Linked DNA regions of Drosophila melanogaster. The protein of the gene in region 1 interacts with the protein of each later gene in a pairwise test. Each region holds a gene or a part of one and is shown on either strand. Other genes may lie near its edges. The genes, in order: CG13731, CG42565, CG13511 and CG7173.

Evidence for each region.
Region 2: the proteins of CG13731 (region 1) and CG42565 interact in a two-hybrid assay, tested with the Drosophila melanogaster proteins (one large-scale study listed by BioGRID).
Region 3: the proteins of CG13731 (region 1) and CG13511 interact in a two-hybrid assay, tested with the Drosophila melanogaster proteins (one large-scale study listed by BioGRID).
Region 4: the proteins of CG13731 (region 1) and CG7173 interact in a two-hybrid assay, tested with the Drosophila melanogaster proteins (one large-scale study listed by BioGRID).

The regions. Positions count from the first base shown.
Region 1 is NT_037436.4:17,381,620-17,391,700, forward strand, and holds CG13731 (uncharacterized protein), read right to left. Parts: upstream 7,338-10,081; 5' UTR 7,129-7,337; coding exon 7,126-7,128; intron 4,844-7,125; coding exon 4,775-4,843; intron 4,716-4,774; coding exon 2,409-4,715; 3' UTR 2,017-2,408; downstream 1-2,016. Other genes in the region: CG13728 (uncharacterized protein), read right to left, coding at 1-701, 901-1,014.
Region 2 is NT_033778.4:22,655,915-22,661,889, reverse strand, and holds CG42565 (uncharacterized protein), read right to left. Parts: upstream 3,990-5,975; 5' UTR 3,902-3,989; coding exon of another isoform or gene 3,615-3,901; intron 2,968-3,614; coding exon of another isoform or gene 2,865-2,967; 5' UTR 2,179-2,864; coding exon of another isoform or gene 1,913-2,178; intron 1,855-1,912; coding exon of another isoform or gene 1,752-1,854; 5' UTR 1,340-1,751; coding exon 1,029-1,339; intron 822-1,028; coding exon 725-821; 3' UTR 501-724; downstream 1-500. Other genes in the region: CG13511 (uncharacterized protein), read right to left, coding at 1,752-1,854, 1,913-2,178; CG13510 (uncharacterized protein), read right to left, coding at 2,865-2,967, 3,615-3,901; CG43325 (uncharacterized protein), read left to right, coding at 4,912-5,273, 5,426-5,537; CG43326 (uncharacterized protein), read left to right, coding at 5,817-5,975.
Region 3 is NT_033778.4:22,656,121-22,664,319, forward strand, and holds CG13511 (uncharacterized protein), read left to right. Parts: upstream 1-1,780; 5' UTR 1,781-1,868; coding exon of another isoform or gene 1,869-2,155; intron 2,156-2,802; coding exon of another isoform or gene 2,803-2,905; 5' UTR 2,906-3,591; coding exon 3,592-3,857; intron 3,858-3,915; coding exon 3,916-4,018; 3' UTR 4,019-4,430; coding exon of another isoform or gene 4,431-4,741; intron 4,742-4,948; coding exon of another isoform or gene 4,949-5,045; 3' UTR 5,046-5,269; downstream 5,270-8,199. Other genes in the region: CG43325 (uncharacterized protein), read right to left, coding at 233-344, 497-858; CG13510 (uncharacterized protein), read left to right, coding at 1,869-2,155, 2,803-2,905; CG42565 (uncharacterized protein), read left to right, coding at 4,431-4,741, 4,949-5,045; CG4250 (uncharacterized protein), read left to right, coding at 7,625-7,793, 7,869-8,001, 8,055-8,157.
Region 4 is NT_037436.4:21,553,679-21,561,163, reverse strand, and holds CG7173 (uncharacterized protein), read left to right. Parts: upstream 1-2,937; 5' UTR 2,938-3,403; coding exon 3,404-4,873; intron 4,874-5,222; coding exon 5,223-5,412; intron 5,413-5,478; coding exon 5,479-5,513; 3' UTR 5,514-5,791; downstream 5,792-7,485. Other genes in the region: CapaR (capability receptor), read left to right, coding at 23-222, 462-635, 692-766, 830-974, 1,029-1,188, 1,268-1,369, 1,858-1,983.

The DNA.
Region 1 (10,081 bases):
ATATCCTGGATGTTGTTAAGCTCGGGTCGACCCTCACCCTTAGTGAACTGTTCGGGCATCGGACCATCGTAGGGGAAGTGGAACGGCTTTGGCTTGAACTCATCCTGACCTCGAAGTGCTCGGGTTCCCGGCGTTTCGGAGTACTGCCTTCGTAGCAAACCCTTTGTGGGCGCCGGTGGCGGAGAGGGTGAGCCCAGGGACAATTGCATATCCTGGGTGGTGAGGCGCGGGGGGCGTGGCATCTGATCTCGCAGCAACCCCCTCAGTGGCGTCATGGTCGCCGATCGCTTGGGCAGGCGCTCGTAAACATGGGCGTCGTCCGTTTCGTGCGAAGATGTTGCGTGTTGCTGCCGTTGCGCTTTCGTGCGCCACGTCCCGTAGATGGGTGCAATGTTGCTATCGGCACGCTCCAATAAGTAGGCGGTTTCCCCAGCAGCTCCCTGCGTCGCCTGCATCTGTTGCAGATGCAGCTGCAGTTGCTGTTGCTGCTGGCGCAGGTACTGTTGCTGCTGCTCGTGCTGCAGTTGCTGCAGCTTGGCCCGCATCTTCTCGATGTCGCTGTCGCTGTCCGAGGGCTCGATCTCCGTGGTGGCCTGGGATGGCTCGTCTGCTGAGGACTCAATGTCGTTCAGAGATTGCTGCTGCTGGTGCTGCTGATAAAGAGTGGCTGCGGAGGCGACCTTCACTACCATGAGAGACATCTGCGGGTACACACAAAATGAAATCAAAGATAAGAGATAATTGGGAGATGTACAATTACGGCCCCCTTTCCTCATGTCTAGATTTTCGCGTAATTGTTACTCAAAATATGTAAACAACAAACAAAAATTGTCCAATTACACTGTACTGCGTAATAAAAAAAAAACCCTTTTGTATAAGAGGTTCGAATCCTCAACTCACTATTGTGTACACCAGGATCAGGCCCATAATCCACCGCCTGCCTTTAGTCCAGCAAGGATCCAGTCGCGTTCGAGTGTCCCGTTGTCCTTGACCGACTGCCGACTGCATGAACATCTTTCCGGGATCTGCTGCTCGAACCACTCGGCTTGCCTATCGCTTGATGAATGTGGGCCTGAGCTTCTGCCTCATCGCGGATCGCAACGATGACTGATTGCAACTGGGAGCTGGCGGCGCCTAAAAAGCGTCGGTTATATCGGCCCAAGTGCAACAGCTTAATTAGAAAGTTTAATAGAGTTTGGCTGCGAAAGCAAAACAGCAAGCTACAGACAGATAAATAAATTAATTGCTCAGGCGAATTCGTGCTCCCAGGCAAGTGGAAAAGAAAGAGATATTAAAAAACGCATTGACCATGAAAATCTGAAGATAGCTGCGAAGTAACTAGAAATATCTTCGGGGCGTGATGAAACCGAAGTGGTTATGCACTCACGAAGGAGCTGACTAGCCATAGCTCTAATTTTGTATATAAGTGAAATACTTTTTAAAAAGGGAAATGATAACATTTAGTGATAATCAATAATTATATTAAAAAAATCGATTCAATATTTTAAAAGTCATAAGTTCAAATCACATTTTAACTATATCTCAAATTTGACATTTAATTATAACCTAAGGTTAAATTATTTCATATTTCATGAAAATATACATCGCTCATAGTAAACATACATGTATTTAAATACCTACTCATACGAACTTTTCAAACCTATTAACTAAGCTAACGTGTTTCACATCCATAACTTAAATTAGTAGAGACCAGAAGTGGAGGTCAAGGTTAACTGCCTAACCTGCACTTTGGGCGCTTTATGACTTGCAAGCAACGATCTCCTTTGCATAGTCGTTAAAACCGACTTTTAAGATAACTCCCAAAAGAGGAGGAACCCACGAGACCAACCAGACCACAAAATCTCCCGGACATGGCTTGATCCCATTTCCCGGTTAGGAGTGAAAAAGAAAATATGTTATTATTGTTTGGGTTTCAAACATCGCACATAACATAACAGGACCGCATGTAATTTCCGCTTCCCAAAAACAGATGAAAAAAATGCTTGTAAATATTCGAAAAACTTATTTTATTGTTCAGGTTTCAGCGATCCGAATTAAAAGTTTATTTAATCGTAATATAGAGCTATATAGTCTTGAGCTGGCGTCCGTCACAGACGACGGCCGCCCATCGATTGTAGAATAGTGATAGAACATAGCAAGAGTTGGATAGACTGTTAGCTGTACAATTGGGGCACTCATTTACAATGATCCCTAGCTGTATGAGTATGCGATTCATTAATTACAAAAATAAAATAAAAACAAACAAATGTCGTCCTTGCAGGCGCACCAGTGGCGCCCTCTAGCACCGCTGGCGCCGGATCGTGTAAAGTTAGACTGTACGAGAATTGACTAGATCAATCTAGCCCTAGACGATGGCCCTATCCCTAATCACATCTGGATCTCTAGATCTAGAAGTTGAAGGGGATGCTGGGCACGGGGTACTGGTAGCCCTGGTGCTTGGTGGGTGCGGGTGGGACGTAGACTGTGGTGCGCTGCGTAGGGGGTGGCACGTACACGGTGGTGCGCACTGTTGGTGGTGGCACGTACACGGTGGTCCTACGAGTGGGTGGTGGAGGAGGTCGGGTGGTGCGCACAACAGTGACGGGGGGCAGGTAGGTGGTTGGTGGCTTAGTTGGTGGCCGAGTGGGTGGTGGAGGAGGGCGGGTGGTGCGCACAGTTGGGGGAGGCAGGTAGGTGGTTGGTGGCTTAGTTGGGGGCCTCGTGGGTGGAAGAGTTGGCCGAGGAGTGGTACGAACGGTGGTGCGAACGGTGACCGGTGGCAGAGGCTTGTTGGTGGGTGGCAGGTAAGTAGGAGCCGGGGTTGTCAAACGACGAGTGGTGGGTGGGTAGGTTGGTGGCCGGGTTGGTGGGCGAGTTGGTGGTGGGGTGGCACGGGTGGTGCGCACGGTAACGGGAGGCAAGTAAGTGGTTGGTGGCTTAGTTGGTGGCCGAGTGGGTGGTGGAGGAGGGCGGGTGGTGCGCACAGTTGGGGGTGGCAGGTAAGTGGTTGGTGGGCGAGTTGGTGGCTTGGTAGGAGGCAGAGTTGGCCGAGGAGTGGTACGAACGGTGGTGCGAACGGTGACCGGTGGCAGAGGCTTGTTGGTGGGTGGCAGGTAAGTAGGAGCCGGGGTTGTTAAACGACGAGTGGTGGGTGGGTAGGTTGGTGGCCGGGTTGGTGGGCGAGTTGGTGGTGGGGTGGCACGGGTGGTGCGCACGGTAACGGGAGGCAAGTAAGTGGTTGGTGGCTTAGTTGGTGGACGAGTGGGTGGTGGAGGAGGGCGGGTGGTGCGCACACTTGGGGGTGGCAAGTAAGTGGTTGGTGGGCGAGTTGGTGGCTTGGTAGGAGGCAAAGTTGGACGAGGAGTGGTACGAACAGTTGTGCGCACGGTGACTGGTGGCAGTGGTTTGTTGGTGGGAGGCAGGTAGGTAGGAGCTGGAGTCGATGCACGGGTTGGTGGTGGTGGTGGCCTAGTTGGAGGAGGGGTTGGGGGGCGAGTTGGGGGACGAGTTGGTGGTGGGGTGGCACGGGTGGTGCGCACGGTAACGGGAGGCAAGTAAGTGGTTGGTGGCTTAGTTGGTGGACGAGTGGGTGGTGGAGGAGGGCGGGTGGTGCGCACAGTTGGGGGTGGCAGGTAAGTGGTTGGTGGGCGAGTTGGTGGCTTGGTAGGAGGCAAAGTTGGACGAGGAGTGGTACGAACGGTGGTGCGAACGGTGACCGGTGGCAGAGGCTTGTTGGTGGGTGGCAAGTAAGTAGGAGCCGGAGTGGTCAGACGACGAGTGGTCGGTGGGTAGGTTGGTGGCCGGGTTGGTGGGCGAGTTGGTGGGGGGGTGGCACGGGTGGTGCGCACGGTAACGGGAGGCAAGTAAGTGGTTGGTGGCTTAGTTGGTGGCCGAGTGGGTGGTGGAGGAGGGCGGGTGGTGCGCACAGTTGGGGGTGGCAGATAAGTGGTTGGTGGGCGAGTTGGTGGCTTGGTAGGAGGAGGAGTTGGACGAGGAGTGGTGCGAACAGTGGTGCGCACGGTGACTGGTGGCAGTGGTTTGTTGGTGGGAGGCAGGTAGGTAGGAGCTGGAGTCGATGCACGGGTCGGTGGTGGTGGTGGCCTCGTTGGTGGTGGTGTTGGACGACGAGTGGTCACTGGTGGCGGTGGCTTGTTGGTGGGTGGCAAGTAGGTTGCTGGAGGACGAGTGGTTGGTGGCTTAGTTGGGGGCCTCGTTGGTGGAGGAGTCCTTGGTGGTGGTGGTGGAGGAGGCAGGCGGGTGGTCACTGGTGGCAGTGGCTTGTTGGTGGGTGGCAGATAGGTTGCTGGAGGACGAGTGGTTGGTGGCCTAGTTGGCGGCCTCGTTGGTGGAGGAGTCCTTGGTGATGGTGGTGGAGGAGGCAGACGGGTGGTCACTGGTGGCAGTGGCTTGTTGGTGGGTGGCAGGTAGGTTGCCGGAGGACGAGTGGTTGGTGGCCTAGTTGGGGGCCTCGTTGGGGGAGGAGTCCTTGGTGGTGGTGGTGGTGGAGGAAGACGGGTGGTCACTGGTGGCAGTGGCTTGTTGGTGGGCGGCAGGTAGGTTGGTGGTGGCGTGGGAGGCCTGGTGGGTGGCCTGGTGGGTGGCCTAGTAGGAGGGCGCGTTGGCGGCCTTGTTGGCGGCTGTGTGGTGCGGACGGGCAGATCGAATGGAACATCGGGAGGGGGGTAGAAGTATCCCTCGGCGGCACGAGTCTTGCGCTGTAAAAAGTGGCTTGTAAGTTCCTGTTGGCAGGGAATCGTCAGATTTCCGCACTTACCTCATGGTTATCGGCCGATGCGGTGGCCACAGCCACAACGCAAAGCGCCAAGACGAACAGTGCACTTCTCTGTGGGGAAGGAACGAAAAACACAGCCTGATTAGTGATGCTACATATTGATGGACTTCGATGGTGTCGCCGTACAGAGGTGCTCAGACTAACGACTGGCTCTAACAACCTGATTGCGACTAATTGATCGCCTTCTAGGCTAATCGCCTATTCACGCTTCGTGGCAACTTGGTCGGGGTCGGAGGAGGCAAGGCAACTCCGCTGGCCTGCAGTTCAAAACTGTGGTAAAGTTCAGCCAACAAACAGCCAAGCTGGCGAATCGATTTACCATAATGCATTGAAAATCACCCGAAATGCTAACGCAGACATTCAACTTTGACGGGCATTAGCATCTCTAGGTCAGTCCCCTCCCCCGGAGCTATGTATGTAAATATCGCAGATTGACGCGATTGATACATAATGCCCATGCAAATGCGGAGCGACACAACAGATCCGAAGCTCAATGGGGATCCGAGGAAGTAGCCCCTGAATTATGGCTTCCGACGATGCTGTCAGCGGGTTTATTTGCATTTGTCGCTGGAGTTTCGGCAAGGTCATTGTTAGTTAATGAAAGTGCTCGTCGATGGCCGCAGATGGCCAGTGTCGATGAGCTCAATTAATTGGCTGACGGAGAATTTTCGGGGGCTATAAAAATAGCCGATTATGAAAGAAACCGGCCCGGATCCGGGCCCCAAACTCCAGACCAGTTCTAGCCATGATTATATAATAATCAGCAAAGACTGGCCATAAAACTAGTGAGAAAACGCAAAATTAGCATACGCATCTGGCATGCGAAGAATAGTAAGCCCCGGTTGTCATTTATAACCAAATCTGTTAGATTTTAAGCCATACCTCCAAAATCGACTGGGTCCAGTTTCATTTATTTTTTTTGTTGGTTTCTGATTGTTTGCTAATTTCAAAAATATTTGATCTTTGTATGTAAATGATTTTAAATAATTTATGCTAATGAACCTAAAATTTTTGCTGTTCTAACTTGTTTTAAATATCAGCCACAATTGAGCTGAGGATATCGAGAACCAAATCGGGTTTGACTTATGGCGGGTGGTGCTTAAAGGTTAGAAAGTGAAAGGACTTGGAGAGATATTTGCAGGGGCAAACCGATTCCCTCGACTGTTCAGTGAGCTAATTGGCAGCTAATTAATCTGATTCACACCGCCTCGAGGGCAGAGCCCCAATGCCAAGACTTTTGGGGCAACTTTATTTTTCCGAAACTGTGAGAGATTTGGGTGAATTAAAGTCTGGGGAAAAGATCAGTCGGCCCTTTAACAAATGAAATCTTCTTTGGCAACAATGATGGTGATTAATGGACGTCTATTCAATGGCAACGTCAAGAATCTAACTTAAGGCAACGTTTTTATGGCTATTTACCTAAATACGCCAATCGCAAATTGCGACTAGCAAATGTCAGAAGCAAAAGCGAAAATTATGGAAAAAAAAACAAGTTTTAATTTCATCTTCAGCCATGTCAATGCTGACATAGAAACTGCCGCCACATGGCAGAATGCACATGCAGCTGGTCCATCCTAATGACTTAATACGCAAATTGCGGATCGCGCCAAGGCGATTTGCTCTGTGGGCGGCCAACACGGCGTATGCGTAACATTGCACTCGATGCCACTTGCTCAATTTCTACATGGCTTAAATGTCAACCGCCATCTGGTCAACTCTTAACTCGCGATGATAGCCCGGGTCCAGAGCTGGACCCTCGACAAAATGTGAAATGCAAATAGATGGCGATTGAATTGGAACTGCAGTCGGTGTTGGCAATTTATTTGCTATTTCTTCTTGTTTGCGATGCTTGGGTATGCACAGAGAAAAATCGGAATGATTTTGAATGAACTTAAAGGCCCTATCTTATCTTATAACCCTTTTTTATGATTGTATCCCTATAAAATTGTAGAACATGCTTTTTTAGTATCCTTTTATACAAGTTCGGATTAATAAATTTCTGAAGATCTAGCGCTAAATAGCTGACACATTATTTTAACACAAGAAATGTTTTAATTTAAAATTAAAGTTTGAATACAAATATCATTGAAAATTCGTATTCGTTCAATTATTTTCTGTACTGTCACAAGCCCAAACTATAAAACGTGGAAACTCCCTAAATATTTTGGACCAACAAAACTGATACTTTTTATCTTCATCTGCACTGCTTTTCCTTTGCGAAATGTCTGTCTTGTTTGTCTTCACACCGAGGGACACTTGTTTCGTTATTTTGCACTTTGCACACGATCATTGTTCGTTTTGGTTTAGATTGGATTGGAACTGGGTTCGGTTACCATGGTGTACACTTTCGGACTGCTACAAACGGCAGTTGCGGTAATCCCGGGTGCGTAGGTAATCCTAGGCGGTGTGCGTGAATAATCCTTGCGGACGGTACTGTGAGGATCGGAAAGGAGAAGACGCGACCGATCGTATCAAATTCAATGGACGATTGAATTTGATCGATGCCAAGCTAAGTTGGTTTAACTTCTAGGTCGAGTGTGGAATACCAACTAAAGCATCAAAACTTGTAGATTTTCTATATATACTCGGACCCAGCATCTGCCCACTTGGGCAGCGGCGTCGGCAGAGGCATCTTCACCTGGGCGACAGCTGTTAACACACGGCCAAAAGCCGAAATCGAAAGCGTTTTGGCCAGATGAAGATGAGCCGAATACGAAGTCTCTGCCGCTGCTGATGCCTCAGCCTTCGTCGACAGCGACGCCGACAGCTGAATGCTGACCAGAAAGCCAACCAGTCTCGGTTGTTTGATGTTTGTGAGTTAACAGCCAGATAACATGGCTAAGACAAAAAGGCAGCCAAATTAAGGCCCAGCAATTATGGCAGAAGAGCAACTAAGCCAGACGCACCATCCGGCCATCCGACCATCCATCCACCAACGCCTGCTCTTGTTGGCATTTCTATTTAGCCAACTCCGATGGCTGGCAAATATGCTCGTACTTTTGGCAGAAGTCTGCGGCGAGTGTTAAACACGTTGTCGTGCAGCATTTAATTTGGTAAATGGGTCCGAGCCACCGAATTTCATCAATCGATGAGACAAGCCGAAGCTGGCTCGACGATCGAGAGCCAAGTCAAGGCTCCCAACGAAGCTTGCCAAGGCAAATAAGGCCGAGAAGATCAGGCGTTGGCTAATGGCACTTACCCCTCGGATCAGGCCTAAATGCAGTTGGAGTTGCGAGTCGATGTTGGAGTTGGAGTCGGCCAATTGAACATGAACCGGTTGACTTGGCCAAAAATGCGTGTGCCCGGGGGTCAGCAGATGGCAGCCGGAGTTGAATGTTAAGGTAGGCTCAGCTCGGCTCAGCTCATCTCTGACTCCGTGTCAGCCGAGTGACCTTTAAACGCACACTCGAAGATCTCGATGATCGGTGATCGGTGATCGGTGTTCAGTGCTGCATTCTTCGAGCGACTCCCAAACGGGTTTCGGCATTTGTCATCGCCTGCATTTCGCCAGTTTAATAACTAGAATTTATTTATTCGCAAGCAGTCACGTCTTGATTTTAATGAACCAATCAGAGTGACACCCACTGGCCACGCGCAGTCATGAGCGGGCCCAAAATAGATGTGACTTTGAACTCTTTCGGCCCAAAGGTGCGTGGTCACTGGGTAGTCAGGGTCTAGATAAAACGGCGGAACAACACCCAGAGGAAGTGCAGCCGAACGGAAGTCACCCCTGCGGCCATCAGACGCCACTTAGAGCCACATTAATTCTTGTCTTTTATTACATAATTGCTGGCTAACTTATTCGGGTCATAACTTGCTTCGCACATCTTCACAAAGGCAATGACACTTGGCGGCGACTGCTGACATTTCAAATTTGTCATTGCGGATAACTGAAGCGACTGAATTGTTTTTATTATTTTTTTCTTTTTTAGTTTTTGGCTCATCGAATGCTTCTTGACTGCCGGCTAGAGGAAAAGCCTTTTTTTGTCACCTCATCCGACATTGCAACAGACGATTATTCAACTTCCATACCGAGTGTCTGATAATTTGCTGCCTCAAATTTTGGACTCCACTGAAGGACGTTAGCGGTTTTCGAATCAAACAAGACCGTCGCTTGAGCCTGTTCTAAACCGCATTCTAGACAGGTTGCTATTTGGATAATTTAAAAATATATTTGTTAATCTAGGGAAGTTTCAGAGCTCGTATGTGAATTGTTATGAGCCTTTGTCTTCGGGCGCGGAAATCATAATATCTAGTTTTTCATTATGTTTTATCAGAATGGAGATCTTGTCTTGGCGCTATTTCCGAACATTATTTTGTATAAATGGGATTTTTAGTCATCAAAAACAAAACGAGAAGCGAGATAAACAAATCTTAAATCATAAAACTAACTACACTCTTTTTCTGGTAAATACAAAAAAAAAAATCGTCACAAAGAACCATATTCTGCAGATGCAAATTTTTTGTAACACAATTAAATATTATATAAATCATGTTGAAACTGCTGAGTAGATTAATTGTATTCTTAAATGCCTCGACGCTTGTTTTTAAAGACGTGTACCCATTCAGGTAGACAATTAATATTACTTATCTAATCCTAGAGCAAATTAAATACCCTCACGCACCGGCCATTAAAATTGAAATCAAGTCTCTTGGCCAGCAACTCGAAAAACTCAACCGCAAATCGGCTAATAAAAAGTGTTCGCCGAAGAATAGAAAACCGAGAAGAAGATGTCGCCACTGAATATTTATAAGAAGGCCGATGACTCTCTACCCACCCAGAAGATTCACGCATCTTTGAATGGATAAAGAAGCGTCTCAGAGTGCGTGGATATTCAAATTTCGCGGATCTTGTCTTGGAGAGAATCATATAAATTTCCGAGTCAAATGTCACGTCACCTGCGTCAGCGGTTGGCAGAGAAGGGAGCACCGAAAGATTGTTAATTGTGCTTATGATTTATGCAAATTTGTCCCAATACATAACGCGAATCTCTGGTAACTTCTACATGGCTTCACTCAAGGCGGACTATATTGTTTTCTGCTTAAGATTTATACTTATGTAAATCCGCCAGCTAAACAGACGCCCAACCCGACTAACTAGTTTGCCACATTGTTTCGCTTTTTTGTGCTCAGTTTGAAATTTGGATTCGAGTTCTGGTCTAGGAAGTGGAATTACCAAAGGTTTTATAAAAGGTTCGAACTGGATTTTACAACACAGCAACTTTGAAATGGAAAGTTCTTAGTAGGAAAAATTTTTACCAATTTTTAGAAGTTCCTGAAACCCAAGTC
Region 2 (5,975 bases), on another chromosome or scaffold:
AAGTATTTCCGTTAGCAACATTATGTTGCCTAACTGGGAAGTGATATTTATATACATCCTTAAAATTGATTACAGCGTATCCCTAGGCTGAGTTAAATTAAAATCCTTTTATTCCATTTCTTAAGAACTAAACATTTAGCAGAAATTCAAATATTTTACTAAATATTCAATTATAATGCAAAGAACTTCAGTGATTTCATTTAATAGCATGAACAGTAATCTTGAAGCATCTTAGCATCAATTTAAACTGTGCCAACATGCCGGTTCGTCCCAGCAACATTTTACCGGTTCAAAACAGTTTCATATCAACATTTATTGCTGGACACAAAAGAGTTGTGCTACGAAAAAGTTTCGGGAAAAGACCGCCAAAAAGTACACAAAAACAAAAAAAAAAAACGTATGAACAATTAAGTTTCACATTATTTTTTCTGCAAATCTAGTTGTCTGCAGCAACAATGTAGCCAGATACCCAGAAACAGAAATTAAAGAAAATTCCATTCGCTTCAAAATCTATTTGTTTATTTTTTCGCTGTCAGCTTATTTTGCTCACTAAGCAAACATATTTTTATGTATGTTAAGTGATGAAGACACCACATTGACGCCGTCGATACATAAGGAGATATGAACATACATACATATATGTATGTATAGTTGGTTATGTATATATATATACATATATATAAAATGAAATGATATGAAATCGGCGAGTGTTTTCGCTGCGTCTTCAAAACGAACCCAAGCAGGAGTTGCAGTTGGGACAGTACTGGGAGGTCTTGTAGCAACAGTTGCAGCAGCAAGGGGCGCAGACGCAGGGCCAGCATCTGGTGGATAGAGATGGGAAATAGAGTATATAGCTTATAAGGCACGATCAGCAATTTCTCATAGCTTGTCCAGGAAGAAGCAAAACAATTGCGGCCACAGATATAGCAGACTAGTAAAAACATTTCTTTTTCCGTTTGCTTACATACACATTATGTATGTACAAACCTTTGTTGCTATACTTGCAACCATAAATGCGATCTACTTACAGGAATAGGCAGAGCAACGCCGCCATACAGTAAGTTGATCCGGTAGGATGGTGCTCCACGCGAAGGCGAATCCGAGCGTTGCAGTGGGGACAGATCGTTCCCTGGCGGGTATTGTCCACCAGCACTGTCGTCTGGTGATGCATCACGCTTACGGGCTGCAACACCGGCATGGTTTGGGCCATCACGGGTATCACCGGATTGGGATGTGCGGGCGACGCCAGGTTCTGCTGCATGACGTCCTCCGCTGGAGGAGCGGTGGCGAATGGATCCGAGTAGGGCGGCGGGGAGTCTACGCGCTTGTAGCAACGCATGCTTTTCTATACTCTTCAAATCACACTAAAAATATCAACCAGTTGCTTACAGCTGCGAACGAGCACTGATATAATACTGAAAGCTTCCGTATATGTATATCGATGACAGTTTCATTAAACTCAGAACTGCCTTATCGGTATCGGTATTCAATTGATTCGCTTTCCTCATATTCTGGGTATTTATCCTAATACGAATATAAAATCTATCTACTGGCACACTAGGTGAGGAAATTATGGACCAGAAAAGATTACTTCATATGTGCAGTGAGAGTAGTAGAAACCATCCGTCATTAACAAAAAGAACTTAAATTTAAAACGTTATTATTTTATGTATCTGTATACATATATGGCTAATCTTGATTAAGTCTTGACATGGAAGGCATTTTTGGCAGTGCGGAGACACAGCACTTGATCAAATGCTATAGCTCCCAATGTGGCATCCACAGTTGGGACAGTAGTGCTGGACACTCTTGCAGTAGTTGATGAAGTAGGGAAGGCAGATGAAGGGCCAGCAGCTGGAGAATCAGGTTAGCAAAGTTAGTAAGCCCGGTGGTATCCTGACGCCCCACTCACCAGCAGATATACAAGGTCAGAGCGCACATGTGGGTCTTGCGGGTGGGGGACGTGGCCAGACTGGTGGTGACCTCGCCCCTGCAGGACGGACACCTCACCCTCATCGGCTTGCAGCCCACAGCCAGTGGATGTGCGCCCGGCCCCACTCCGTTCAGGGTGTAGACGGGTATCTGGGTCACCACCACCCCATAGTTTGGCTGCGTGGTTACGGTCACCATTTCCGTGTCGGCCGGTTCTGGAGCTCTGCCCATCCATGTGCTGCTCATGTTTGCGGCGGGGCATGCACTGAAATAGCCCGCCATTTAATGACAACATTGCTCTATCGCAATCGTTATCTTTTCTGACTAATCGACAAGTACTTTTTAGGTGAAACCTACTATGACTATGACGATATGGAGGGGTACAAGAGGAGTCGGCCAGTGCAGTACCTAATCGATTGACATTCGGTTCCAGTAGCTCTGTGCCATTTGGCCATTTCCAGTTGTTGGCTTGAGTAGGTGCCAGAAGGGTTTATGTTTCCTAGACAACAATTGATATAGTCTTAGCTATTTATGATATTTATGATCCATTTTACTGATTACGGTTTTTAAGCGATAGTAAAAAGTAAAAAGATTGTTTTAAAATGGTCATTAAAATGTTGGCGTTGGTTTCTCGTAATGATCGATCGAAATTGTTTAGTACCAGTACAAAATGTAGTGGAAAATACTAAATAATGTCAACATTATCATAGACATTTCTGAAAATATTAAATTACTTCATAATCCATTTAGCGGAAAGAGTGCCTTGTCCCAAGATATCTTGTCGCATTTCTGTTTCCTGTGTGAGTCTCATGAGTTTAATGTGTGGCGTTCGTACATGTGTATTTACAGTTCAATTTTTCTCGGTTATGACGCTAGTGCTTAGGGTTCTCTATAGGTATATACGTTTGTATGCATAAATAGGCGTTAGTTAGTTAGTTCTCGTAGGTGCCGATGTAGGCGCTGCAGTTGGGGCAGTAGTGGTTGGCATTCTGGCAGGAGTCCATGCAGTAAGGTAGGCATACGCACGGCCAGCAGCTGTGTGGATAGAGTGGAAAACGAATCGATTAGATAAGTTCGGGGAATTAAACTATTAGTCAGAGCACTAATTCCGAATTGGCCTTTACGACGTCTACAGGCCGTAATCAGTCAGTTTGCTTGCTTTCACCCCGTCTTTCCACTCGGATTCGTTATCTGACTCAACTCCAGTTCCAGTTGAGATAACAATGTTTTCACATATTACCAGTACACACAGTCGCAATACCTGTAGAAACCTATTGTTTTTTCCAAGCGATAAGGGGCCGCAAGTGGTTCATGGGCGTAGCTTTTTAACATTTAACCGAGCTATTGTAACGAGTTGGCAATAAAATGGTTATAGAACATTTCTGCTTGGGCGATACGAAAACATATCTAGATTGTTAGGATATCATCTATAGGATATCATATCATCTATGTATATTACTGAATTTAATAGGCAACATATCCGATTTGTATTGCTTTTAAAAATGGTTTACTCCATTTTGCGCAATTTTATAAAAAGGTCATTTGACTGGATTAATGAAGCACTAAGTCCCCCCTAAGATACTTTCGTTGGCCCAAAGCTCCTGAGACCAATCAACATACATACATACATATGGTGGCAAGCAGTGACTTCAGATCAGATGACTAGTGACTATAAGACTCACATGAACAGGCACAGGATGAGGGCCCAGCAGTGCGTCCTGCCGGAAGGAGTGGACTTCACGGTGGTCAGTACTTCGGCGTGACAGGAGGGACAGCGGATGCGGGTGGGTCCACTGCCGATGGGCACCAGGTTGGAGGTTGTGGTGGTCTGGATGATCACCGTTGAGGACTGCGGTGGCTGCGGCATCGGTGGGTACAGTGGTGGCTGGGTGGGGCCACCGGGCTGATAGGTTTGTGCGGGAGTGTATCCGGACTGTTCACTGTACGGTGGAGGCTGCTTGCTGTCCATAGTTTCGGATTATGTTTCTTCTTGATGCAGACTCTGGATTTCCGGCCGAACTGAACCGATCGCTTTGCTGGCTGGCGTTGCACTGAGGAACGAACTTAAACTGTGGCTCCCGCAATACCTCAACGATTGGCTACTATCTTATCGTCGAGAGGTGATAGCTACCATACAAGTGGGGTTTCTGTCGAACTAATAATCGGATACCTCTTTTATTGTGCACTTGATTTAGTGAGCTACAGCGATGCTTCTCCTCCGAATAGGCGACAGATGAGTCACTTGTTTGATAACACCTTTATTGCATATAAAGGCAATGAATAAGGCCAAAATATACATATGTAACATTTAGTACGTGTATTTTGCGAGGAGAGAGTATAAACAAACACAGGTTGTCGACTCGAGTGCTCTCGCCATAATATAATATTTTTGTAATTTACCAAATGCGTGACCGGTTTATATATATGTACATATGTAGATATGATTCTTTGCCAGTTGAAGCATCATCATTCCATTTGTGAAGCCTTTATTTTTTTTAATTATTTATTGGATATTGGATATTAATGTGTAACTTGCTTAATTTGTGATTAAAAATAATATATATATTTTCCGTGCTTGATACTATTTCCTGAAAAACCTTATGAAATGTCTTAATTATTCAAGTCAAAATAAAAACAGACTTCGATCTTCAATGGGTTAAGATAACTGTGTATATTTTTTATAGAAAAAGCTCCATTTACCACCCACTCGCCGGCAGCTTTGTGGAAGCTTTCCTCATGGGATCTACGTTCAAGTGCAGCCGTTAACATCGCAACCATGAAAATAGTGTTAGGCAAATACGGGGGCTTGACAAACAGATGAACAACTGGTTTGTCTAACTCCCCCCTCAGCCCAAAAAATATAATAATAAATCCCCCTCGCCAAGCGATAGCTGTTTGACTTATGTTTCTTATGTTTCAATTGTAAAATAACCCAATTTATAGGCAAATAGAAAACCCGAGTCGAGTCAGTTCAACAACATGAGCCGTCAGCTAAAGTTCCACCTTCAAGCTCCCGACGACGAGGAGTTCGCAGCGGATCTGGTGGAGATTAACCTGAACCCCAACTGCGGCCAGGTCAAGCAGAAGTCGGCTCAGGCCTTGGACCAGCTGCTCCTGGCCACGCCCCCACACAGAGGCTATCCCTACGGCTATGCCGAGGACTCCGAGCCGGATACCTACTTCTGCCGGAAGAGCAACTCCACAGGCCAACTGGCCGAGAAGGTATCACCTCCGCCGCCCGCTGCCACCAACATTAGTTGCCTCCGCCAGATGTACTGTCCGGAGTGCCACGAGCGATTGCACGAGCAGGGAGTCCGCCTGGAGCGACTCCTTACCATGTGGTGAGTGCAAGGCCAGGACATTTCTTTAAAGTAAATTCTTAGGATGGAATATAAATAAGATTATTTAATCGTAGTATAGGGCTATTAGGATAATAACAAAGATCGGAAGTATTTATATTTCTAATTCAGATTATTTCCTTATCCATTTCCAGCTGCTTTGCCCTGCTGCCCATCTATCCCTGCTGCCCGAGGCGCTCCACCAACGATTGCAAGGTCATCTGCGGCAAGTGTGGTTACCTCTTGGGGGCATGGAAAAGACAGTGAGATGAAGGGATGGGGGTCGTGGGTTGGGGCAAACGGAGTGGGTGCTCCGCTTATAATTGTTTGTTTTGTTTAGTTTTTAAGCACTTTTTGTTGACCTTGCGGCGAGTGATGAGCGCTGCTGAGACTGAAGAGCCGAGTGCCAAAAAATTGTTGATTGCTGCATGATTCTCTCAGTGGTTTCTCTTCAATTAGATCTCTTTGGTCAGATAGATCTCTTTTTCGAATTTCACTGCCTCGGGATTCGCCAAAATGTTTAGCACTTGACGCCGGCCAGTCGCAATGTCTCGGGGAAACGACTTGGATGCGGATCTGGAGGTGGATCTCCAGGAGGGGGACAGGGATAGCCAGTCGGCGGCCACCACTGTCACGCTGGAGGAGCGCCCTAGCAAACCCCAGGTGCGATTCTTCAGCATCGGACCCAGCAGCTACCAGGTGCGG
Region 3 (8,199 bases), on another chromosome or scaffold:
CAGTGAAATTCGAAAAAGAGATCTATCTGACCAAAGAGATCTAATTGAAGAGAAACCACTGAGAGAATCATGCAGCAATCAACAATTTTTTGGCACTCGGCTCTTCAGTCTCAGCAGCGCTCATCACTCGCCGCAAGGTCAACAAAAAGTGCTTAAAAACTAAACAAAACAAACAATTATAAGCGGAGCACCCACTCCGTTTGCCCCAACCCACGACCCCCATCCCTTCATCTCACTGTCTTTTCCATGCCCCCAAGAGGTAACCACACTTGCCGCAGATGACCTTGCAATCGTTGGTGGAGCGCCTCGGGCAGCAGGGATAGATGGGCAGCAGGGCAAAGCAGCTGGAAATGGATAAGGAAATAATCTGAATTAGAAATATAAATACTTCCGATCTTTGTTATTATCCTAATAGCCCTATACTACGATTAAATAATCTTATTTATATTCCATCCTAAGAATTTACTTTAAAGAAATGTCCTGGCCTTGCACTCACCACATGGTAAGGAGTCGCTCCAGGCGGACTCCCTGCTCGTGCAATCGCTCGTGGCACTCCGGACAGTACATCTGGCGGAGGCAACTAATGTTGGTGGCAGCGGGCGGCGGAGGTGATACCTTCTCGGCCAGTTGGCCTGTGGAGTTGCTCTTCCGGCAGAAGTAGGTATCCGGCTCGGAGTCCTCGGCATAGCCGTAGGGATAGCCTCTGTGTGGGGGCGTGGCCAGGAGCAGCTGGTCCAAGGCCTGAGCCGACTTCTGCTTGACCTGGCCGCAGTTGGGGTTCAGGTTAATCTCCACCAGATCCGCTGCGAACTCCTCGTCGTCGGGAGCTTGAAGGTGGAACTTTAGCTGACGGCTCATGTTGTTGAACTGACTCGACTCGGGTTTTCTATTTGCCTATAAATTGGGTTATTTTACAATTGAAACATAAGAAACATAAGTCAAACAGCTATCGCTTGGCGAGGGGGATTTATTATTATATTTTTTGGGCTGAGGGGGGAGTTAGACAAACCAGTTGTTCATCTGTTTGTCAAGCCCCCGTATTTGCCTAACACTATTTTCATGGTTGCGATGTTAACGGCTGCACTTGAACGTAGATCCCATGAGGAAAGCTTCCACAAAGCTGCCGGCGAGTGGGTGGTAAATGGAGCTTTTTCTATAAAAAATATACACAGTTATCTTAACCCATTGAAGATCGAAGTCTGTTTTTATTTTGACTTGAATAATTAAGACATTTCATAAGGTTTTTCAGGAAATAGTATCAAGCACGGAAAATATATATATTATTTTTAATCACAAATTAAGCAAGTTACACATTAATATCCAATATCCAATAAATAATTAAAAAAAATAAAGGCTTCACAAATGGAATGATGATGCTTCAACTGGCAAAGAATCATATCTACATATGTACATATATATAAACCGGTCACGCATTTGGTAAATTACAAAAATATTATATTATGGCGAGAGCACTCGAGTCGACAACCTGTGTTTGTTTATACTCTCTCCTCGCAAAATACACGTACTAAATGTTACATATGTATATTTTGGCCTTATTCATTGCCTTTATATGCAATAAAGGTGTTATCAAACAAGTGACTCATCTGTCGCCTATTCGGAGGAGAAGCATCGCTGTAGCTCACTAAATCAAGTGCACAATAAAAGAGGTATCCGATTATTAGTTCGACAGAAACCCCACTTGTATGGTAGCTATCACCTCTCGACGATAAGATAGTAGCCAATCGTTGAGGTATTGCGGGAGCCACAGTTTAAGTTCGTTCCTCAGTGCAACGCCAGCCAGCAAAGCGATCGGTTCAGTTCGGCCGGAAATCCAGAGTCTGCATCAAGAAGAAACATAATCCGAAACTATGGACAGCAAGCAGCCTCCACCGTACAGTGAACAGTCCGGATACACTCCCGCACAAACCTATCAGCCCGGTGGCCCCACCCAGCCACCACTGTACCCACCGATGCCGCAGCCACCGCAGTCCTCAACGGTGATCATCCAGACCACCACAACCTCCAACCTGGTGCCCATCGGCAGTGGACCCACCCGCATCCGCTGTCCCTCCTGTCACGCCGAAGTACTGACCACCGTGAAGTCCACTCCTTCCGGCAGGACGCACTGCTGGGCCCTCATCCTGTGCCTGTTCATGTGAGTCTTATAGTCACTAGTCATCTGATCTGAAGTCACTGCTTGCCACCATATGTATGTATGTATGTTGATTGGTCTCAGGAGCTTTGGGCCAACGAAAGTATCTTAGGGGGGACTTAGTGCTTCATTAATCCAGTCAAATGACCTTTTTATAAAATTGCGCAAAATGGAGTAAACCATTTTTAAAAGCAATACAAATCGGATATGTTGCCTATTAAATTCAGTAATATACATAGATGATATGATATCCTATAGATGATATCCTAACAATCTAGATATGTTTTCGTATCGCCCAAGCAGAAATGTTCTATAACCATTTTATTGCCAACTCGTTACAATAGCTCGGTTAAATGTTAAAAAGCTACGCCCATGAACCACTTGCGGCCCCTTATCGCTTGGAAAAAACAATAGGTTTCTACAGGTATTGCGACTGTGTGTACTGGTAATATGTGAAAACATTGTTATCTCAACTGGAACTGGAGTTGAGTCAGATAACGAATCCGAGTGGAAAGACGGGGTGAAAGCAAGCAAACTGACTGATTACGGCCTGTAGACGTCGTAAAGGCCAATTCGGAATTAGTGCTCTGACTAATAGTTTAATTCCCCGAACTTATCTAATCGATTCGTTTTCCACTCTATCCACACAGCTGCTGGCCGTGCGTATGCCTACCTTACTGCATGGACTCCTGCCAGAATGCCAACCACTACTGCCCCAACTGCAGCGCCTACATCGGCACCTACGAGAACTAACTAACTAACGCCTATTTATGCATACAAACGTATATACCTATAGAGAACCCTAAGCACTAGCGTCATAACCGAGAAAAATTGAACTGTAAATACACATGTACGAACGCCACACATTAAACTCATGAGACTCACACAGGAAACAGAAATGCGACAAGATATCTTGGGACAAGGCACTCTTTCCGCTAAATGGATTATGAAGTAATTTAATATTTTCAGAAATGTCTATGATAATGTTGACATTATTTAGTATTTTCCACTACATTTTGTACTGGTACTAAACAATTTCGATCGATCATTACGAGAAACCAACGCCAACATTTTAATGACCATTTTAAAACAATCTTTTTACTTTTTACTATCGCTTAAAAACCGTAATCAGTAAAATGGATCATAAATATCATAAATAGCTAAGACTATATCAATTGTTGTCTAGGAAACATAAACCCTTCTGGCACCTACTCAAGCCAACAACTGGAAATGGCCAAATGGCACAGAGCTACTGGAACCGAATGTCAATCGATTAGGTACTGCACTGGCCGACTCCTCTTGTACCCCTCCATATCGTCATAGTCATAGTAGGTTTCACCTAAAAAGTACTTGTCGATTAGTCAGAAAAGATAACGATTGCGATAGAGCAATGTTGTCATTAAATGGCGGGCTATTTCAGTGCATGCCCCGCCGCAAACATGAGCAGCACATGGATGGGCAGAGCTCCAGAACCGGCCGACACGGAAATGGTGACCGTAACCACGCAGCCAAACTATGGGGTGGTGGTGACCCAGATACCCGTCTACACCCTGAACGGAGTGGGGCCGGGCGCACATCCACTGGCTGTGGGCTGCAAGCCGATGAGGGTGAGGTGTCCGTCCTGCAGGGGCGAGGTCACCACCAGTCTGGCCACGTCCCCCACCCGCAAGACCCACATGTGCGCTCTGACCTTGTATATCTGCTGGTGAGTGGGGCGTCAGGATACCACCGGGCTTACTAACTTTGCTAACCTGATTCTCCAGCTGCTGGCCCTTCATCTGCCTTCCCTACTTCATCAACTACTGCAAGAGTGTCCAGCACTACTGTCCCAACTGTGGATGCCACATTGGGAGCTATAGCATTTGATCAAGTGCTGTGTCTCCGCACTGCCAAAAATGCCTTCCATGTCAAGACTTAATCAAGATTAGCCATATATGTATACAGATACATAAAATAATAACGTTTTAAATTTAAGTTCTTTTTGTTAATGACGGATGGTTTCTACTACTCTCACTGCACATATGAAGTAATCTTTTCTGGTCCATAATTTCCTCACCTAGTGTGCCAGTAGATAGATTTTATATTCGTATTAGGATAAATACCCAGAATATGAGGAAAGCGAATCAATTGAATACCGATACCGATAAGGCAGTTCTGAGTTTAATGAAACTGTCATCGATATACATATACGGAAGCTTTCAGTATTATATCAGTGCTCGTTCGCAGCTGTAAGCAACTGGTTGATATTTTTAGTGTGATTTGAAGAGTATAGAAAAGCATGCGTTGCTACAAGCGCGTAGACTCCCCGCCGCCCTACTCGGATCCATTCGCCACCGCTCCTCCAGCGGAGGACGTCATGCAGCAGAACCTGGCGTCGCCCGCACATCCCAATCCGGTGATACCCGTGATGGCCCAAACCATGCCGGTGTTGCAGCCCGTAAGCGTGATGCATCACCAGACGACAGTGCTGGTGGACAATACCCGCCAGGGAACGATCTGTCCCCACTGCAACGCTCGGATTCGCCTTCGCGTGGAGCACCATCCTACCGGATCAACTTACTGTATGGCGGCGTTGCTCTGCCTATTCCTGTAAGTAGATCGCATTTATGGTTGCAAGTATAGCAACAAAGGTTTGTACATACATAATGTGTATGTAAGCAAACGGAAAAAGAAATGTTTTTACTAGTCTGCTATATCTGTGGCCGCAATTGTTTTGCTTCTTCCTGGACAAGCTATGAGAAATTGCTGATCGTGCCTTATAAGCTATATACTCTATTTCCCATCTCTATCCACCAGATGCTGGCCCTGCGTCTGCGCCCCTTGCTGCTGCAACTGTTGCTACAAGACCTCCCAGTACTGTCCCAACTGCAACTCCTGCTTGGGTTCGTTTTGAAGACGCAGCGAAAACACTCGCCGATTTCATATCATTTCATTTTATATATATGTATATATATATACATAACCAACTATACATACATATATGTATGTATGTTCATATCTCCTTATGTATCGACGGCGTCAATGTGGTGTCTTCATCACTTAACATACATAAAAATATGTTTGCTTAGTGAGCAAAATAAGCTGACAGCGAAAAAATAAACAAATAGATTTTGAAGCGAATGGAATTTTCTTTAATTTCTGTTTCTGGGTATCTGGCTACATTGTTGCTGCAGACAACTAGATTTGCAGAAAAAATAATGTGAAACTTAATTGTTCATACGTTTTTTTTTTTTGTTTTTGTGTACTTTTTGGCGGTCTTTTCCCGAAACTTTTTCGTAGCACAACTCTTTTGTGTCCAGCAATAAATGTTGATATGAAACTGTTTTGAACCGGTAAAATGTTGCTGGGACGAACCGGCATGTTGGCACAGTTTAAATTGATGCTAAGATGCTTCAAGATTACTGTTCATGCTATTAAATGAAATCACTGAAGTTCTTTGCATTATAATTGAATATTTAGTAAAATATTTGAATTTCTGCTAAATGTTTAGTTCTTAAGAAATGGAATAAAAGGATTTTAATTTAACTCAGCCTAGGGATACGCTGTAATCAATTTTAAGGATGTATATAAATATCACTTCCCAGTTAGGCAACATAATGTTGCTAACGGAAATACTTTTGGAAGTGTAGTGTCCCGCTTCGCGCCCTAAACTTCTGACCGCACAACACTTTCGCAGCCCAAACAGTGCGCATTAACTTTTTGTCTCTCTGTGAAATCGGAATTCTACTTTATTTATTTTGACAACGTACCCACCCATACAGATTGTAAGTATGACGGGAGAGATATATTATGCAAGCCTAGGATTGGGTCAAACATGAGCAACGGACTATTATAGTCAGGTCTAATTGGGTAATATCTGGTTGTTTAGATGTTTACCGCTGCTTTGCCGCTCCCCAAAAAATTTACTTTTGCTTGGGGGAGAACTCAGCAAAGACATACAGGACGACAGTAGGATTTCGGGGGGAATGTTAATCACTGGCGACGGACACACCCGCTGTTAAATAAGGATACTGTGCTGGGTGGTTTGCGCTAGTGAGAACATACATAAATAGATTGTGTTGATTTTGGATAGGACCAGACCGAGCAAGCAAGTTGCACCAAACGACGAGCAAAGATGATGGATGGAATCGGGGTTGAGCGGGGCTCAGACACACGCGGTTGTGCGATGACGGCGTCGGCACGAAGCTTGCCACATGGCACAAGAGATTCCGTGGCCCACGAGGATGACCTCACGGCGGCAGGAGGGATTGCGCAGCACCGTGGTGCCATCGACGGGAGATAAGGCGGATTACAGCTTGTTTTGCATGGCGGGTGTGCAATTAAAATCCCCATTAACCAGCCAATTTAATGCTCATGCACCAGCGGCACGCGACGTATTCAAGTTTTCAAGGTCTGCGCTGCAATCAATATGAGAGTTATTAGAGTTTCCTGTGCTTTCTTTCTGCAGCTCCGCCATCGAAATGTCCACTTCCGTTGGCCCGGAACCGTGCATCGTGGTCTGCCCCAGTTGCCGTCAACAGGTTACCACTCGTGTGGAGCCGAAAGCCACCACCAAGACTCACCTGATAGCATTGATTATGTGCCTTACCTTGTAAGCCATGTTCGATATTGATTTCTTAACATTCTGGGTGCATTCTCATTGAGTGATCTCTTTCGTGCAGCCTTTGGCCCTGCTTGCTGCCTGTACTGCACTCAATGCGCCCGGAACTCCGACCACCACTGTCCATCTTGCAACGCCTACATTGGCACCTACGAGCGCTGAGCAACTTCCGCCGGAAGTTGTTTTTTTTTTTTTGTCGTGGACTGCAGCCAGCAGCCGTGCCGAAATGCAGCCCCCATTACTTATCCCCACTTGATCTATTTTTAACTCTCTCACATTTATTACTACGCACTATTTTGATAACAAAACAAATCATTGTAGTGCCGGCATATGTATTCTTCAGCACACCAATAAAAGGGTTCAAGGAAGAAACGAGTGGATTTTACCTGGGGGTTGATTTGTTTTAGAGACAACGCAATTCTTGAGCAGAGTTGAGTATTTCTTATGTTTTCAATAAATATGCAAATTGTTGTTATATACGTGCTAATAGCATAGCTGGAAGGACCATTTCGGAAGGGTAAAAGCTACTGGTTTGTTTACCTGACAATGGAATACCCTACTAAGTGCTAACATTTCTGTTTTATTGGTAAGTTTTGATATTAATTAATTCATCATGGCTGAGCAATTTCTTACTAAAGCTTTTCATCCTGCAAAAAAAAAAGAACACTTACTCATGTAAAAGCCCTTATTCTGATAGCCACATAATATTTAACGGAAATCGCTTAGCAAGCCATCCGACATAGTAGGGCTATATAGAATTCGCATCGCGCCGCAACTCGAAAGTTCGCCGAGCAATGTTGGAGGAGCTCTCTGCGGTTTCAGTCGCTGTCGGCAATTCAAACGCGTAGCACACATCGGTCGGAATAATTAGAATGGAGAAGAACTTTCAATACGAGAATATGCAGCCTCAGGCTCCGGGTTTCCAGGCACCGCCCAGTTATGATAGCGCACCGCAGCAGGTCTATCCTCAGCTCCATCAGGGACAGGGAGTGATATTGCAGGGTGAGAATACAGAGAACTATGAATCAATCGGAAATAATGGTCAATTCTTCTGTGCAATTCAAACATAAAATATAATATCGCATATTATACGAAATCCAATCGTGCCTCTTTCAGCTCCACCCAATGTCCTGGGCCAATGTCCATCCGTTGCCACTTGTCCGAGCTGCGGCGTCCGCAGGGAGACGAAGGTGGAGTTCGAGCCCAGCACCAAGACCCACCTGTTGGCCCTACTCATCTGCATGCTGGGGTAAGTGCAGCCCGTTTGCTCCACCTGCCCGCAGGACTAATGGCCATTTTCAGGGGCATTTGCTGCTGCTGCATTCCGTACTGCACCGACTCCTGCCAGTCGGCCAAACACACCTGCACCAGCTGTGGAGCCTACGTGGGCACCTACAAGAACTAGAAGTGCTATCTCAACACCAAATATTACAGGGATAGATCCCAC
Region 4 (7,485 bases), 4.2 Mb from region 1:
TATAAACCCAGCTGTGTTTCAGATGCACCTATGTCTCCGTCTTTACCATCGTCGCATTTTCCATGGAGAGATTCCTGGCCATTTGCCATCCATTGCACCTGTATGCTATGGTTGGCTTCAAGCGCGCGATTCGGATAATAACAGCTCTTTGGATTGTTAGTTTTATAAGCGCCATTCCATTTGGACTGCTCTCGGATATTCAATACCTCAACTACCCATTAGGTATGAAACTATTTACATCATAAGTTCCCTAGCAGTACAAAAATGGTGCTTGGTGCTCGAGTCAGTAGTTGCTCAAATGAAGTAAATTGCTGAAACCTTATAAATCAATTGAAATGGACTTTAATTTTGCGAGCGACCTGAACTTCACCATCCAACAGCCATGAATGGTTGAAGTATATTCTTTGAATAATATCCAAATAACATGAACAGGTATAAATGGCATTCGTTGCGCTTTTCAGATCATTCCCGCATTGAGGAGTCGGCATTCTGTTCCATGTCGCCCAAGATTGTTAACGAAATTCCCGTGTTCGAAGTATCCTTTTGCATTTTCTTTGTCATTCCGATGATACTCATCATTTTGCTCTACGGACGAATGGGAGCCAAGATTCGATCTCGAACGAACCAAAAATTGGGCAAGTACCTGGCTTTTATTGACCCCAAAAGATCCGACTTCAGGGATGTATTCCAGGTGTTCAACAAGGCACCAACAACAGGGAAACGAGAAACTCCCAAATGAGAAAGAAGACGGTTATTCGCATGTTGGGTGAGCTTTTCCCAATCAATCCCAACAGAATCCATCAATAAAGTCCCCGTTTAATCAGTATAGCTGCTGTGGTGATTACGTTTTTCGTGTGCTGGTTCCCGTTCCACCTGCAAAGACTCATATTCCTGTATGCCAAGAACATGGATAACTATTTGGACATAAACGAGGCACTCTTCTCGATTGCGGGATTTGCGTACTACGTTTCATGGTAAATGAACCCAAATTCTATTAACTTATTTATCTGATTCAACTGGCTTGACAGCACCGTAAATCCAATAGTGTACAGTGTGATGTCACGTCGCTACAGGGTTGCGTTCAGGGAACTCCTCTGCGGAAAAGCCGTGGGCGCCTATTACAACAGCGGATTTGCGAGGGATCACTCCAGTTTCCGGGAAAGCTCCGCCTACGACCGCGTTCATTCTGTAAGTTATTAAGTTATTGAAAGCACATTTTAATCCAACCTAACCTAATTTGGTTATTCTATCTCAAATTACCCCATAGGTTCACGTCAGAGCCAGCCAGCATCCAAATAAGTTCGAAACGGACTCCTCATCTGCAAATAGGGTGCTGATAAAGAAAACCTACAGCCTCCCGCTACCAAAAGTAATTAAACAGACCAAAATCATAAATACTCATTGAAGTATAGCATAGTGTCCTAGAGTATGATATAGTAGTAAATTAGCATAAATTTAGTTATTACAGATGCGCAGATTCTTTTGAACTGGAAATCCCAGAGTTATTTCCAAACTTTTCTGTGTCGCCGGACTCTCGGAACTCAAAGATACCTGGGCGAATAAATCAAATTAAAAAGTTATTTCACTCTGCGTCAATTTGTGTATCCTTGTAATTCCCAATGCTGAAGTTGCTTAGTATTCCGGCTCCATCCCCGCTTAACTTGATTTCGCTTTGTTTACACAAATACCCATGGGAACATAACTTTTCCTTACATTGCCTGTTGAGCGAATTAAAGTGCTCGTATGTGATTGTTTGAGTTTGTGAAATAGTAAAATACAGGGCGAATAAATACTACATTACTTTTCACCTGCTTGTATTCCACGTGTGTATATTAACTTTGGACCTTGCACTTCCAGAATGCGGACTCCACGGTCCTGAGCACCACGGACATTGTCATCGTGCTGGAAAACAGCCACACAGTTTGCGAGGAGCCCAAAGTTGAGAACGATATTTGGATCGAGAACGAGGAGACTTGTATTTAAGCACGAGGCCATTTCAACATTTGTAGTTTAAGCCAAGGACGTCGAGAACAACCTTTTGTAGAACTAATTTAAGAGCTAAGAATTGCGTATTGGGAATTTAGTGATATGACTGGGAGTCTGTCTAAATTCAAATGTGCCCCCGCACAAAGGAGATTTATTTATTTCTACAACATCTCATAATATTACTAAATAAACCAACTGAGTTTTATTGCTACCGAGTTGTTTTTTTTTAATTGTGTTAGGTCCTTATAAATATTTATTTATACATAAAAAGGTAATCAGTTCCATTTTCACAAACTTACTGGCCACAAAAGAATCTGAGATATTTGAAACTTTATGGAATAACAGGGCTTTTATGAATGAATACATTAACGAACGATTACAGTTTCGAGCGATTTGCATAACAATGATCCAAATTATCGTTTTCATGGCTTGTTCTCTCGAAAAAGCAGTGCCAAATTGACGACAAAAGCGAAAGTTGTACCCATTATCCCAGTATCTATAATTAAAAACATTTTCACTTTTACATGAGGTAAATAACCCTGCATTCACAAGTCTCAGACATCCAGCCATCTGGCATTCTGTATAAGCAAATTAATCTCTGATGTTTGAGGAACTCCGAACCAATTACGCATAGGTCTCCAAAAGATCTTATCTCCGATTTACTTTCACCAGCACTCAAGATAGCCAGATTAATGAGCATACCTGGCCAATGGTTCTGTCGCATCTGGAGCGATGTCACGGTGCCCCGAGGCTCGAGTGCTCCATCTTCGTGTCGCGATATGATCTCTCGGGGATCTCTCGGTGGACACCACATGCACATCCAAATCCAAAAACATCGACATCGACATCGACATCCACATCCACATCCACAGCAGCTCCTCTATGGCAGCAGAGGCAGCATCTCAAAACTGGTTTAGTGGCCATTCCGACACTCCGAATTCCAGCACAGCTAGTTCAGAAACGTTCCATTTGCCACTCAGTTGCTTTCCAACCGACGGCACCGCCGAAATTCAAGAAGAAAGTAATCGGATGGATGTGGATGCTCGAGACCCTCCATTGATTAACGGTGCTGCGGCGTTGGAACCACAGGCTCTAGAAAAAGTGCCCATCTTAAGCTGATATGGCGAACCAAGTCGGTTTTAAATAGATATACATAGATAGCTGCATCTGGGCCCAGAGACGAGGCCACCACATTGTATTTGGCTGCAGTGCCGCGAGGCGTTCCATTTTTATTTAAACGACTGGCCGGATAACAAAGAAAGTGAGATCAAGTCTGCGCGATCGTGGATCGTCGAATGGAAAAGAAGCTTCGCATGTGTGCGTGGTTAATTCGAAAGAAACTTTTTTGCTTTTGGCCGCGGAACTGACAAATGTCAAATACCAATAGACCGTCGTGGAACGAAGACGAGCTTTAAAAATGACTCAGAGTCCGCTTAAGTTGGCCCCCATTTTGGAGGCCCTAGTTCTGATAGTGGTCCTAATCAACCAAGTGCAGTGCGGTGAGAATGATATGAGACAAGCGCGCATAAGGCAGTTTCTGAGTGAGAACCAGCCCCTGGCCCAGCACCATATCAAGCACAATCGGCCGCCGGGTCCCGGACAACTGCCCCGGATAAGATCGCGATCGGATAACCTGGCCATGCTTTCTGGTGGCTCCAACAAGTTCTTGCGGTCGCCGCAACCTGCCACTGCGCAGCACATCATGCGTCGCGAGCAGTTCGGGAACTTTCCTGCGAACGACCAGCTCAGGAGGTACCAGTTCGACCAGAGTCAGCAGGGCAGATTCGCCCACGTAAAGGACACTCCGGTGCTAGATGTGGGCAAAAACCAGTTCCCACTCCAGTATGTCTCCGAGCAGTACATTCAGAACTTCAAGTCCTCGCCGCGCTTCAATGGCAATGTGATCATGAAGGACACCAAGCCAGTGTACGCACCCATCCAACAGCATGCGATTCCCGTCCAGGCCTCCCAGTACCTGCACTATCCCAAGCTCTTCGGACAGCAGGGATCTCCCAGTTTCAGTGTTGTCCCTACCCAGCAAACTGCTCTCCAAAACAGCCAGTTTCCCCAGGATCCAAATAGCTACTCTGTCTACGAGGATACCGATATACCTGCGAAGCAGGCGGTAAACTTTCGCCAGGCAGTGCCACCACCAAAGGAGTCCAGGGAGGCGCAGGACTACCTGCAATTCATGAGCACCAACGAGTACTTCCTGCCCAAGAGGGATCCTGACTTCAAGAAACTGGACGCCGAGCGGGACCAGCAGAAGCTGCTCCACCAATATCCACAGCAATACAGACAGCAGCAGCAGCAGCAACTGTATCAGCAACAACAGCAGCAGCATCAGCAACCGCAGCACCAGCAGCCGCAGCAGCAACAAGCGCTGCAGCAACATGTTCCCTACAAAACTGCTGGCCTAGACAACTCAGTCTCCTCCAGTTACAATGAGCCCATACAAGTGTCCGACTTGTTCTACCAGCAAGATCCCGCTCCTGCGAATTCCGCAGTGGTTCGCGGCAGTTACCAGGCAGGTCAGGATGTCTTCGTTGTCAAGTCCGACGGCAACAAAGCCGTTAAGCATGTGGTCTCTACTCCCATGGCGGTCCAGACCACCACTCAATCGCCGTCGAAGAGCCAGCACCTCGCCAAGACCCACAAGAGCTTTACCCCGGAGCCTCTGCGATTCGAGTTCACCGAGCAAGATGCCATAAGGGGATCGATGAAGTACACCCAAGCCCCGCAAGCCAATCAGTACTACTACGAAACCGTGGCCCAAGCTCCCCGCGAGCCCGCGAAATCTCCTGCCCCGAAGATTGAACTCAGCAAGCCCATTAAGGAATACACCGATGACCCAGAGGATAGTTCCGACACTGAAAGTGGAAAGCAGGTTGGTTCTGTTTCTCAATAAATGTGAAAACCGCAAGTAGCTTATATAAGCTAGCATATTTGTTGGCCAAAAAGTGGCCACAAAAACAAGCACTTCCAACCTTTAAGGCATTTTATAATGATTTTTACGCGATTTAGTGAGTACTTAATTTCGATCAAATCGTTTACGGGTTTAAAATAGTACTCTTCTTTGAAAAAATAAACTTAAAAAAATAGTTGATTCTATCAACTCAAGCTACAAAAATTATACGACTCATCAAATACCAGTAACAGTTTTTCCTAATAAGATCAAATTCTTTTTGCTGTGAATTTAGCTCTTACATTTTTAATTTTAAATTTGCCCATTTCAGCAAGATATTCCAAAGGTGCCCACTGTGACGAGTTCAGCTACTCCTGACGATCCAAAGGACACGGAAAACTACTGCGAGAAGATATGTGCTAATGTGTACGATGAAAACGATGAAATAATCTGTGGATCCGACGGATACATGTACACGGGCGAAACCCAACTGCAGTGCTATTCGTCATGCCTCAATATAAGTAAGAGTTTCATACCCAATATATGTATTGTCTGTATATATTTTAAACCAACATGTTCTATTCCAGGTGTGACGATTAAGAGTAAAGGATCTTGCTCTTAAACTAAAATAAAATAAAAAACTGTTTTAATTTAATTTATTCTAGCGATTACAAAATATGCAAATTTAGTGGAAATGGTAAAATGTAGGGTTTTGTAAAAAGTGATTTTGATTTGTTGTTCACGTATAAAAATATCGTGCACTTATAGCTTTCCTATTCATTAAAGTGATAACTTATAAACTATTAGTGCATGTATATTTAAGTTCTACAATATATTTGTATGTATCTCAAAAATCATTCAGAGAAGTTAGTTATAATAAATAAATTAACGAATTGCAAGAAAACATTATCGAAAATCATATTTATATATATAAAATAAGAGACTATCTGGGCTTTTTGCCTTAGGGGCAAAACAAAAGAGACAGGAGCATCTTCTTGCTGAATAAGGGAAACCTGTATAAGGGTTTGGAATTTATTAAGACTTTGTTAGGTGTGGTTTTTACAGCTGTAATCTGTTTGTAATCTGTTTCATTATGGCAGGCAAAATGAAATTTAAAAAAGTGGCTTAATGCTTAAAGGTTATACAGTATTCTTAACAATGTTATAACTCGTTCGAAGAGTAACGGTCTACTGTTCAAGTTAACAGAGGCCAGGTAACATCTCTGCTAATGCGTAACATATATATTAGGCAAGCTGGTAGCTTGGGTGGCATCACCGCCGATAACACTTGTGTAACAATATGCGCTATCGATAGATCACGAACACAAGTAAACCCAGTTGCTTTGTAAAATTTTTTGTGAAAGTAAAGGGAACTTCTGGCGAAATAACTTCAATTTTCCGCTGACTCTCGCACGCGTTCAATCCAATTGACCCCCCTTGTGGAGGTGACACTATCTCCCGAAAGACTTACCAATCCCCCGTGCCGTAATATGAAAGCTTGCTAGCTCGAATTGCCTTTGAACACCACAATCACAAATTGAAATCCTCGATGCGAACGATCCGACAGTCGCAGTGCGAGCCCTAGACCCCGTCCCGGTCGTAAATCCCCAACTCGAGCACGATCCCGTCGAGCGAAGGACTTCCGGAAGGAGCGGCGTGGAAACATGACATCATAGTCGCTGCATATGCTTCCTGTCCCGAATCAAATGTACATAAATATGTATGTATAGCCAGCGTACCGCACATACGCACATATCCCTCGCGACAGAACAGAACAGAGTAGAGTGGAACGGCAGAGCCAGTGACGAACGTAGTGCAATCGAAACTAGTGATTCATGGAAAGCGCACACCTCGGCCTCCTGGAGACGGCGCCACTACCTCCTCCACCCAGCTGTAAGCGATATTTCAGACGTCGGCACCAAGCAACGAACATAAGTGGGTGTGGGAATGGTCACCTTTCCCTGCTCCTGCCCCTGCCCATGTCTCTGCCCCAGTCCAAGCCAGTTCCTCCTGTCAATAGTGCCGGAATTTAACCTTTGCTCCATTCCTCCATGCCTTCATGTACTCATTCACCGCCTTGCCTCTCGCTTCAGATTAAACGTGGTGGTCTGCTGCTAAAAATCTTGCAAAATTGGACAAACCCTCTGCGACTTCGTACGACAACAAGAGGTCGTACCTGCGAACCGTGCTCGGAAGGGAAGCGCCATCAGCGAAGATGGTACTACCTCCTGCACCACGCAACCTCAAAGGTGAGTTGGAGTCATTGCCAAAACATTTAGGGAATATCTCTATTTATTTAAATATTGTTTTTATTTAAATCAGGGCACATAACAAAAAATGATTGAAGTAACAATCGTTGTTTCATATATGCCTAAATAACGTAAAAGCTGGTTTAAAATATCCTTGTATGTAGTGTGTTAAACTGACCAAGTATCCTACAAAGGATTTGTTTCCCTAGGATACTAATTTTTAAATATGCTTCAACTGGAATTGTTACTTCAACGTCTCTGTTTTAAGCAAAACTTACTAGATAAACAACACGTAAACTGAAACCGTTTTTTCGTTTATCGAATGTTTATAAAATGTTCTTGGAAG